Pelodiscus sinensis: one gene and its partners. The protein of the gene in region 2 purifies or fractionates together with the protein of the main gene of each other region. This does not show direct contact. Links are inferred from orthologs where the notes say so. Each region holds a gene or a part of one and is shown on either strand. Other genes may lie near its edges. The genes, in order: TGFBR1, MAP3K7 and FKBP5.

Region 1 (3,822 bases), on a different chromosome or scaffold from region 2:
CAGCGTTTGTACCAGAGAAAACAATACCTCATATTGCATTATTTTAACGAGGTAGCTCACGTGTAAAACTGTTGTTTTCCTCTGCGTTTTTGTGAAGTAGAAGAAAGTTAAACTTTAAAGAGACACCTTTAGTTCTGTTAAAAGTTTCTGATTTCCTTTAAGGAAATAGCAAGGTGTCTTGAAAAGATTTAAAATAATTTGAAAATTTCAGACAATCTTATTCTGCTTCCCCATGCAAAGGATGTCTCTCCCCTCCTCACTAAGCAAATATTTATCGGATTACCAAGATTCTCTAATGAGAGATCAGAGATGTATTAAATATGAATGTATGTATTCTGCCTCATCTTAACCCATCCCCCTCCAAAAAAAAAAAAAAACCTTTATCTATACCAGGTCTCAAAGTCACATATCATCTAACACTGACTGCAAGAGAAAAGTATTGCAGTTTCCCAAGTTACACTTATTTCTTAAATTGAAACAAAAGTTACTTCTAATATTGCATACATTCTGTATTTATTTTGCTTTATCTTTTGGGCAAAAGAGTAAGCAATAACATACACAATAATATTCCTCTGTGTTTATGATAATTTGATGCATTACAGATGTGCATACCCAAAGATTATGTAACTAAGCAGGTTTATAGATGTTTGGTTTAACATTAATAAAGGATGAGCAGTCCTCTGGCACCATAGAGATCAACAAATTTATTAGGTTATGAGCTTTTGTGGGTAAAAATCCCATTTAAGTGGAATTTACAGAATTCCAACTCGTCTGATGAAGTGGGTTTTTACTCACAAAAGCTCATCTCCTTTATTAATGTATTAGGACATATTACTAAGTCCTACCACCAAACATATCCTGCGTTATTTGGAGAACTGAAGGTACAGTTGTGTTACTGTTCTTAGTTGCCCAAAGTCACAAACAACTCCCGCAACACACTTCAACCTATATGTTTTGACATCAGATTAACTGCAGGATTTTGCTGGGGTAGAAAGAACTAACTCAACATTCTAATATGCTGCCCTTATTTATAAATGTGTATTTTGTATACTAGTGGGTATAACAATAAGGTGCTTAAATACAATGCAGATTTACAACCTAAACAGCATTTAATCTAAGCAATCATCCAGGCCAGTTTTTAATCACAGAGTACATAATACCAGCATATTGCAAGTTGGCGCCCAACTCAACTAGAGCGAGTGGCTTCTTACTTCAGGAGACTCAAGAAAAAAAAGTGGTTTTTTTGGGGGGGTGGGGGGGAGATTTGTTTTGGGTTTTTTTGCGCTTTACCTAATTGGAACATTCAACATGTAGTTCTCTCCCCTCCACCACCACCACCCTTACATTTGTAAAGAACACTGGAACAGTTACATTGTGACCATAAGCCTGCAGCACATATTGGGATTTCCCCCATTTCGGTTACGAATACCGGGCACCTGGGACTGCAAGCGGAAGTTTTAAGGAACGACATTTTATCCGGACTGGCGCAAGTCTCTGTGTATCAGGGTTAAAGGGTCTGTCCAGCCACGCAAGCCCCAGATCACTAGCGGGAACGAGGAACGCGAGAGCGGCTAGCGCCAGGCGACTTCCAGCGCGCTCACAGCCCAACCGGCTGCAGAAGAAGAAAACCGGGTCCGACCAGACCCCAGCGGCTGGGGGCAGCCGGCCGTGCGCGGCGGCGCTGGGACACGATCGGAGGCGAGGGCCACGCGCGGCGCAGAGCTCGTGGTGCTGCCCCGGGACCAGGGGCGCAGACAGCGGGTGCCACAGCCGGAAGGGGGCGGGCGCGCTCGGTGCCTTTTTCACCTCGCTCCCGGACCCGCTGCGCTCCCCGCTCCACCCCCTGTTCCGGGCGCGAGGAGGGGGGGGGGGGGGGGGTCCGGCAGCCGCCGCCCGGCCGCTGTTCCTCAGCCTCGGCGCCTTTGCTCCGCGCGCACCCGGAGCCGCCGGACTCGGCCAACAAAGGGACGCGGGCTCCGCCCGGCCGGCCCCTGCGCCATGTTGTTGAAAGGAGCCGGCGGGGACCCGCGGAGCCGCCTCCCCGCCCCCGGGGCCGCTACTCACCCGCCGCCCCCGGGAGCAGCAGCGCCGCGGCCGCCAGCGAGAGAAAGACCCAGCCTGGCCGCGGAGGGGCCGTTAGCTCCATGGCGCTGCCCGCTCGCGCCCGGGCTCAGCCTCGCGCCGCCGCTTCTCCGATTCACACTCGCCCTTGCGGCCACTTTATAATGTAACTGACACGCAGGCGCCTCCTGATTGGCCGCTCCGGCCCGTAGCCCCGCCTCCCAGGCGGCTGCAGACATTCTGAACAACAACAAGAGTCTGGAGAAATACAACCGGCTCGGCGCCAGGCCAAGTGGGCGTGGCGGTGGGGAGGGTGAGCGCGAGGCGGGGAGAGTGACACGGGGGAGGTGGCTGAGCGCACTGCGTCTCCCTTCCCCTGGACTGGCGCGTGGACAAAAGGCAGCGTCTGGCCAGCAGCTCTCTCCGTTGTGGGCCTGGGGGGCAGGGCACGCGCGGGGGTTGGGGCGCCTCGCGCTCCAGCAGAGTTTGGACGCTACAGAGACGCCTCCACCTTCTCTCTCCATCCCGCTCATGCGGGCTGAGTGAGGCGGGGGGCGCTCTCTGCCTGCAGCGTGCTGCAAGGGTGCCAGAGCCGGGCCTGCTACTTGGTAGCGGAGCCGCAGGAGCTAAGTAACTAGGTGTCCGAGATAGAGCCGGCAGCGCCCGAGGAAGCAGGGTTGGAAGGTGCCCTTGGTAGTAAAACGCTCAACAGTGCTGGAGGAGGGAGGATTTGTGCACACCCAGTGCTCACACCTTCTCTATACAAGACAGTACTCTGAGAGTTTTTCCTCTCATGCAGCAAATCAGATTGACAGAAAGCAAGGAAATTCCTGAATAAGTCCTTGTAGCCATGCCTAATCATAGCACTGGAATGGACCTAGAAAGGTCCTCGTGTACCTTGCACTCATTGCAACACCAGCCACCATCTAGCCCACAGGTGTTTAACTTGCTCTTAAAGATCTCCAGTGATGGAGATTCCACAGCCTCTCTAGGCAATTTATTCCAAAGATTAGGAAAAACTTACTGTTAGAATAGTTAATGTCCAACCTAAACCTCCCTTGCTGCAATTTAGGCCCATTGCTTCTTGTTCACTCACCCAATAGTTTCTAAATCTTCAAGTATGGAAGTCACCAGGTAAGGTTACAATTAGGACACACCAAATGCACTTGCACCATTGAACCAAAAACAGTGGCCAATTCTCAGGCATTCTTAAATTTGCCTTGAAAATGCTATAGTGTCTAGCCACTTGAGTATTACCACGTACAGGCCCTATAGCTATGTTTCTGTGAGGCTGCGTCTAGATTGGCATGATTTTCCAGAAATGCTTTTAACGGAAAAGTTTTCCGTTAAAAGCATTTTCGGAACAGAACATCTAGATTGGCACGGATGCTTTTCCGCAAAAGCACTTTTTGTGGAAAAGTGTCCGTGCCAATCTAGACGCTCTTTTCTGCAAATGCTATTCATGGAAAAACTTTTCCGTTAAAAACATTTGCGGAAAATCATGCCTGTCTAGACGTAGCCATCCAGTGTGCTGATTTCTCCTGTTAAAGTTAACAGGAGAAATCAAGCTTCTGACTTTATAGACTAATTTAGGTGCTTGATTTTGCCACATTTTATTTTAATGCACATGGGATGGAGCGAGTTTGTGGGCTGCTTTTGGGAGTGGTGCAGTGCCAATGCAGGGTGAGCCTGCCTTAACCCTACTGCACCACCACCCAGGAGCCACCTGAGGAAAACAGTGCCCAGCTGGTACCCACATCC
Region 2 (3,600 bases):
ACCAATGCCAAGAGCCTTACAGGGAATGAAAGACCAAGAAATCATCACATGATCTATCCCATTCCCAGATTCTGGCAAACAGGTTAGGGACACCATCTCTGCCCATCATGGCTAACAGCCACTGATGGACCTATCCTTCATGAATGTATCTAATTCTTTTATGAATCCTGTTAGCGTCTTGGCCTTCACCACATCCTCTGGCAAAGAGTACCAGTGGTTGACTGTGTAGTTTTTCTGCACAGTACAGTTTCAAAGTTCTATTAAGTAAATGTTTAGTTGTAACCTTTGAAAGAACCATAAGGTTTTGTTCAGAGTTATCAACATTTTAAGAGTGGTGAACAATCTCCATTCCTAGGGCATTCGTAATGCTGATTTTCTACTTTATTTAATGCTGTGGGTAAATTTCAGTAGAAAGTTTCTCTCCCCTAATAGCTTCTCATGCCTCTCAATATATTCCATATATTCCCTCCCCCTCCAATTTGAGAACATCTGATATAGGTTATCTTGTTTGTAGAAAGGGAAACAGTAAATAATTTTAAAGACTGATTAAAGCTAAAGTACCTTTTACAGATTTCTGGTGACTCAAGGTGAAAGTCAAAGATACCATGATACCTTGCAAACAGTGTTCTTGGAAAACATTACTTTTCAATAAAACTGTTTATAGTCTCCAAAAATACACTTCTGTGGATGCAGGCTAACTATCACTATTTAGCAAATGATGCTGTAAAGCTCAGAACTACTGGTTATCACATATATGAAAGGTGCTATACAAGTCTAAGTTCACATCTGTATAGTTATCAGTCAGAAGAAAAGATCTTTTTCTTTCAGCAGTAATTAATCTGCTAAAGAGCTAAAAACACATAGATTATAATGATGCCAATGTTTGTTAAGTTAATTTTTCTGCAAGTCAGCATATGTAAATCCTACCAAGTTCAATGGGGGTCTGCCCATGTACAACAACTTGACTTAAACAGAGACTTCACAGGGATGGAGGGATTCAGTTGAATCGAACAACTTGCAAGATAAGGGCCTTAATGAGCCGTTAATATATCTCCATTGAACCTTTCTGGAAAACAGATTGCTCTAGAGAATTTACCTCCACATAAAAACCAAACTAAGCCACAAATACTTTTATCAGAACTACTTCTTAATCAACTGCATACCAGTTTCAAAGAATTTAAGTCAGCTCTTCCACAGCCAATCTTTCGCTGAAACACTCAAGTAGGAAACTCCCCCCCCCCCAAACTAAGTACAACATAAATGGACAATTACGTCACAAGTAATCAATACCAAATGCAATAAAGGGTCACACATGTACTGATGTTAATTTAACAGCCACTGGATTGTACCATCACTTACATTAGTTCAATAGATCTAAAAGGAGTCTTTTATGCTTATGATAATGTAGACATAAAAAATTGGGATATGATCATCAGATAGATACCATAGTAATGGGTGTATAATAAGTACATTGAATCGGATGGGTGGAAGAGAGAACAGAGACTTACAAAAATAGACACAGACAAAATGGAAGCATTACAATATAGTTTAAAAATTCTCCATTTGACAGTGATAAAGTTGGGTGGTTATGATCAGTGAGTTAATCAGAACATATAGAAGTCCCACAAAGTCTGGATTAAATTTAGACTGTTTAAGTAAAAATTCACCTATACACTATGATTCTTGCTTCGTGTTTGGAATATCTAAGCTCCCTGGCAGCTCAGGTTAACAGCCTTGCATCTAGCCATACATGTTTTCTATGCACATTATTGCAGTATTTAGACACTTCCGAGAGGGAGAATAGCACAGAATTTACTATACAACGCTCAGCTCTACGTGCCTGTGAGTAGTCTCACGGCCTCTCTCATAAGGTTGGGGTTTTGCTTCGGTGTCTATGAGCAGAATCTTCACTATCACCCCCACACCTTTGTGCCAACTGACTACCACTCTCGCCCCTCCTTTCTCCCCACTTCCCCGCAGCTGGCTGCCTGCCAGGACCACAACACCTATCTAGTTTGTAAGCGTCTTTCGGGTCCTGTAGGGTGAAAGCTGCCCTACGAGCCCCAGGGAGCTGTGCAGAGGGAGGAAAGGGGAGTCTCTGAGCACGAGGTTCGCTCACCTCTTCCACCTCTATCTCCTTGTAGTCAATTTCTTCGAAGTTGAGGACCGGGGGAGTTTCGATCATTTCAGCGGAGGCGGCAGCAGACATCCCTTCGCTGTCAACTAGGGCAGGAGGGGGCAGGGCCGGCCGAGCCGGGCCGGGGCAGAGGAGCGGCTCAGGGGGGCCGCCTCCCCGCTGCACAGGCTCTGGGGAGCGAGGGCCTGGCGGAGGCGCCTCCTGGGCCGCCGCGCGGGGCGAGGCCGCATCCGCGGCGATCCGGGGCTACTGGGGCCGCGCGGAGCCCCCAGCCGGGGGGGCCTCGCTCCGCATCCTGCGCCTCGGGCGCGCCGCCCGCCCTAGGCCGCGGCCTCCCTGGAGCCTGGGACTCGCCTGGACTGCGCGTCCCCAGCAGAGGAGACGGGACGGCCCCGGGGGCGGGGCCCCGCGGCCTCCGCCAGCCCCGGCGGGGAGGGAAGGCGCCGCTCAGAGCCGAGCTCCGGCCGCCGCTACTGGCAGGGGAGCCGCTTCCTGCTGCCCGGCCGGGGGGCGGGGGGGAGTCTCCGGCTGCTGCTAAGGCCGCCGGAGCGGGGCCATGGCCTGGCGGCGGCTGCGGCTCCTCCCGGCTCCTCCCCTCGTGCGCGGCCGGCGGCGGCCCAGCTCCGCCCCCCCCCCCGCCAGAGCCGCCCGGCAGCCAGGGGGAGCCGCCTCCGAGCCGCACAGACGCCTGGGACACGCGCCTAGGAACGGCCCCGCCCGGCGCCGCGGGGGACTCAAGCGCCGAGTGGGGCACCAAGCGCAGCGGCTGTTGGTAGCAGCTCCCCCAGCAGCGGCTCCCGGGGCTTCGTGTACCAACGGCGGATCCCAGCCGTCCCTGGGAGGGATTGCAACGGGCACAGCAACCGCCCCCAGCGCTACGCTGTGCAATGGCAGGCGCTGGTCTCGTGGCTGCATGGCGAGCAGTGGCGGTGCTAAGGCTGCTGCCTGTTTGTCCTAGTACCACGGGCTGCACCGTGCCCCAGAAATGGGCCGTAACAGGCCCGGCTTGTAGGTGGAGAGTGCACAGGGCAACATGCACTGCTCCTGGCCAGAGCATTTAGCTCCACGCTCCCATTGGCAGGGAACCTGCTGCTGGCTGCTTCTGGGAGGCAGCATAGGCTGCAGTACCAGGAGCAGCAGGGAGTCTGTCTTAAGAATATAAGAATGGCGAATAGTAATAGAAATGTAGCTGTGTTAGTCTGGTGTCGCTGAAACAAAAAACAGGACTATGTAGCACTTTAAAGACTAACAAGATGGTTTATTAGATGATGAGCTTTCCTGGGCCAGACCCACTTCCTCAGATCAAAAAAAAAAAAAAAAAAAAAAGAATGGTGGTACCCAGTCAGACCAAAGGTTCATCTTGTCTCATACCCTGTCTTCTGACTGTGGCCAATGTCAGATGCTCCAGAGGGAGTGAACAGAAACACGTAATTATTAAGAGATCCTTCTTAGGGATGTTAAAT
Region 3 (3,822 bases), on a different chromosome or scaffold from region 2:
TCCTAATCCATTGTATTTATTGATGGGGCAGTGTTTACATAACTCCAGGTAACTCTCTCTCTACTACCATTTTATTAATCAAAGAAGATATTGAAAACACTATTTGCTCTCTTTTTTATAATACCAATTTCTAACACGGGTCCAGCCCCATCCACCAAGTGTTTAAACAAGTTTAAGCATCTTTCCAGCCTCCTGTAGGGAAAGTCTTGGTTTACATGATCTGTCCTAGCAAAAGGTGACATTTTAGGAATGAACATTTAAATAGAATCACTGCATTCATCTAATGAAAAGAGACTCCTCAAACTAGCACCTTAAAGACACTGTCTACAGTACACTGTAGAACTGAAAGTAGCAAAGCTGTTTGAGATAGTCAATTTCATTCACAGGCAGAGTCAATTTCATTCACAGGCAGGATCAATTAAATGGTGCACCTTGAATATAGCCCTGGAAATATGAACTGGAATTAACCAAATGGAAACATTACACATTATTTTTGAATTTATCCTTCAAAAGCTCTTATAGCTCACCAGGTAAATAATATTCCTTTGAGGCACTAATATGCATGTCTGAAATGCACTTTGCAGCAGGAAAGTAGAAACTTCACAAGAGCTATTTGTGCAATCGAATGTGAGAAAAAGTGAGCGTCTCCAATCATGTTTATTTTGTGTTATATATGAAAACTGTGCAGAGTCATGTTCTCAGTATTTACTTTTACAATCCATGGGACATTTTTTCGGTAGGTGTCATTATACAGGAACCTCATTTTGTGATGATACTATACTTTTACACCTGGAGGAAAAAAATATCCTCCTCTAGGGTTCTATTACCATGGCTGCAGACCATGTTTGGATTCACTGAAAAGCACTGCTGTAGGAAGCTGCAAAACAGTATTTCAGCAAAGGATACAGGGCTGCCTATAGTGAAAGTAGGCCACTTTTCAATCAGAAAATCTAGAAATGTTTGACATTTCTGTCAGAAAACAAGTGAAATCTCAGATACGGGGCAAAGAAGATTAATACAAATATAACTCTTTTAAATGATTGGGTGGATGCAAAGTCAATTTAACTTAAAATTTCCAGATTAAAAAATATATTAATATTTAATATCATAATTGTATCACAGACAAAAGTTAGAAGATTTAAAGCAAAGACTCTAAACTCACTTTTTTGTGCAAAGATTTTTTGTAAGCTGTTTTTGAGAGATTTTTTTGTGCTGAAGGTTCCTCAGTGGCTTTCAAACACCAGGTAGATTCAATATATTGTGAGAATTGAAACAATTTCCTTTTGTCAATTATCTGTTTAACTTAAAGATTAATTTCATCAGGTCCTTACACTTGGCTCTTTCTGAAGTCAACAACACCAGCAGACTCCATCTAGTCTCCCACAGTACAAGGGGCATATTACAAGACATTAAACTTTTTTTTTTTTACATACCATTCCTCCCAAGGGAAAAAAGTAACCCAGATCCTAAAGCAAAAAAGCCTAACACAACCAACGGACACTGTTCTTCCTATCCTTGCAAAATTGCATTTATAAAGATAACAGTGTTTTATAAAACAATTCAAAATCCTTGGCTAGAAGCAATATTTCAGAACCATAAGGCCAAAGGTAAGGACCAAATCCACATACACTCCAATCTCACACACCTTCCATACATAGGAGGCTCCTGTAGTACTTAATAGAGGTTCCTTAGCCACAGCACAAACAGCCCACCTGTTCTCCAGGTTCTTCCTGACGCCACATCCCACCAAGTTCCTTCGCCCCCTTTCCTCCATGCCTCCTTAATTCCTTTCCTCCCATGATAGGGTTACCACCTGGCTCTTACATAGCATTTGCGATACACATACACAATGCAATATTTGCAGCATTTCCTTCCACTGCTCTTCATCACCTCCTAAACCAGGGTCTCTATATTGCTGGTAAGACATTTACCTTTCCCCACCTCTAATATCATTAGCTCACAGACATTCACCTTCCTTCCCCCCCCCGCATTCCCCTTCTGTTCTGAAATGTGATTTGTCCTTTTCATATGTGTTCACTTTTTTTAATTGTATCCTTTGGTATATATGGTTGTGACTATTTTCTTCCACTATTTGATCTGAGGAAGTGGGTCTGGCCCCACGAAAGCTCATCGCCTAATAAACCATCTTGTTAGTCTTTAAAGTGCTACATAGCCCTGCATTTTGTTTCTTCTATATTTCTGGTTATTGGGGGGAGGAGGGGAAGAATTATATTCCTCCCCTCTCAGCAGAATTAAAATGTCACCATCCCATTTTTAAAACTTTCCCTATTGGGGGGTGGGTCATTCTTCTCCCCCCCCCCAAAAAAAACCCCACCCACACTCCCCAAATGTTCCTTTTGGAGCCCCCTCACATCCATCCAGGCATTAGTGATTCAGAGGGGGGCGGTGTGGGAGTGCGGGGGTTCAGAGGAAGGGGGGTTTAGGGGAGGGGGAAGGAGGAGGCAGGGGGCAATAGGGGGACAGGGACCCCAAGTTACCCTGGAGGGGGGGGGTCTGCCTCTCAATGGGGGGGGCTGCTCATGGGTGGCCCGGCCCGGGGGGGGGCAGCCCCTGACTATAAAGGGGGCTGGAGCCTCGGGGGGGGGCTCACCAGCCTCTGAGCCACGGCCCCGCCACCCCCCGGGGGCGCCTACCTGCCGCTCCGCTGGCTCCCGCCGCCGCGCTGCCCGGCTAGAACTGACACCGGGCGGCCGGCCGGAGCCGGCCCGAGTCCCCCGCCTTCCAGCGAGGCCCCGCCTTCCCGAGCGCCCATTGGGCGCCGCGCCTTCCCGTCTACGTCAAGGGCGCTCGAGCCGCGGCTTCATTGGCTACTTCTCCGCCCTGCATGTAAATGAGGCCGCTTCTGCCCGCCCCCTGCCGGGAGCAGAGCCCAGCCTCAAGCTTTTTGCGAAGAGCGCGGGGGGGGGAGCGCCGGAGAAAGTCAGTGCAGCCCCTCAAATCCTCCATGCAGCGCCGCGGCCCCTGTGCAACGCCCCCACGCCGTCCGTGCAACCCCTCCAAAACCTCAGTGCAACGCCTCAGGCCCGGTGCAATGCCCCCTGTCAGTGCAACCCCCCCCCATCTCAGTGCCACAGCTCAGCCCCAGTGCAACCCCCCCAAAACCTCAGTGCAACCCCCCCAAAACCTCAGTGCAACGCCTCAGACCCGGTGCAATGCCCCCTGTCAGTGCAACCCCCCCAAAACCTCAGTGCAACGCCTCAGACCCGGTGCAATGCCCCCTGTCAGTGCAACCCCCCCCAAAAATCTCAGTGCCACAGCTCAGCCCCAGGGCAACCCCCCCAAAACCTCAGTGCAACGCCTCAGACCCGGTGCAATGCCCTGTCAGTGCAACCCCCCCAAAACCTCAGTGCAACGCCTCAGGCCCGGTGCAATGCCCCCTGTCAGTGCAACCCCCCCCCCAAAACCTCAGTGCAACACCTCAGACCCGGTGCAATGCCCCCTGTCAGTGCAACCCCCCCCAAAACCTCAGTGCAACGCCTCAGGCCCGGTGCAATGCCCCCTGTCAGTGCAACCCCCCCCCCAAATCTCAGTGCCACAGCTCAGCCCCAGGGCAACGACCCCAAACCGTCACTGCAACCCCCCCAAAACCTCAGTGCAACGCCTCAGACCCGGTGCAATGCCCCCTGTCAGTGCAACCCCCCCAAAACCTCAGTGCAACGCCTCAGACCCGGTGCAATGCCCCGTCAGTGCAACCCCCTCACATCTCAGTGCCACAGCTCAGCCCCAGGGCAACGATCCCAAACCGTCAGTGCAACGCCTCGACCCCAATGTAACGCCCCCTAACGGTCATTGCAACTCCCC

Evidence for each region.
Region 1: the proteins of MAP3K7 (region 2) and TGFBR1 purify together in Homo sapiens (affinity purification with western blotting; 3 studies listed by BioGRID). This does not show direct contact. The link is inferred for Pelodiscus sinensis from reciprocal best matches to the Homo sapiens genes MAP3K7 and TGFBR1.
Region 3: the proteins of MAP3K7 (region 2) and FKBP5 purify together in Homo sapiens (affinity purification with mass spectrometry; 4 studies listed by BioGRID and IntAct, with this or other methods). This does not show direct contact. The link is inferred for Pelodiscus sinensis from reciprocal best matches to the Homo sapiens genes MAP3K7 and FKBP5.

What each region holds. Positions count from the first base shown.
Region 1 is NC_134712.1:146,268,707-146,272,528, reverse strand, and holds the start of TGFBR1 (TGF-beta receptor type-1), read right to left. Parts: upstream 2,235-3,822; 5' UTR 2,147-2,234; coding exon 2,065-2,146; intron 1-2,064. UniProt on the Homo sapiens protein: Transmembrane serine/threonine kinase forming with the TGF-beta type II serine/threonine kinase receptor, TGFBR2, the non-promiscuous receptor for the TGF-beta cytokines TGFB1, TGFB2 and TGFB3.
Region 2 is NC_134713.1:65,052,446-65,056,045, forward strand, and holds the start of MAP3K7 (mitogen-activated protein kinase kinase kinase 7), read right to left. Parts: upstream 2,774-3,600; 5' UTR 2,210-2,773; coding exon 2,120-2,209; intron 1-2,119. UniProt on the Homo sapiens protein: Serine/threonine kinase which acts as an essential component of the MAP kinase signal transduction pathway. Plays an important role in the cascades of cellular responses evoked by changes in the environment.
Region 3 is NC_134737.1:12,704,410-12,708,231, forward strand, and holds the start of FKBP5 (peptidyl-prolyl cis-trans isomerase FKBP5), read right to left. Parts: upstream 2,784-3,822; 5' UTR 2,655-2,783; intron 1-2,654. UniProt on the Homo sapiens protein: Immunophilin protein with PPIase and co-chaperone activities. Component of unligated steroid receptors heterocomplexes through interaction with heat-shock protein 90 (HSP90).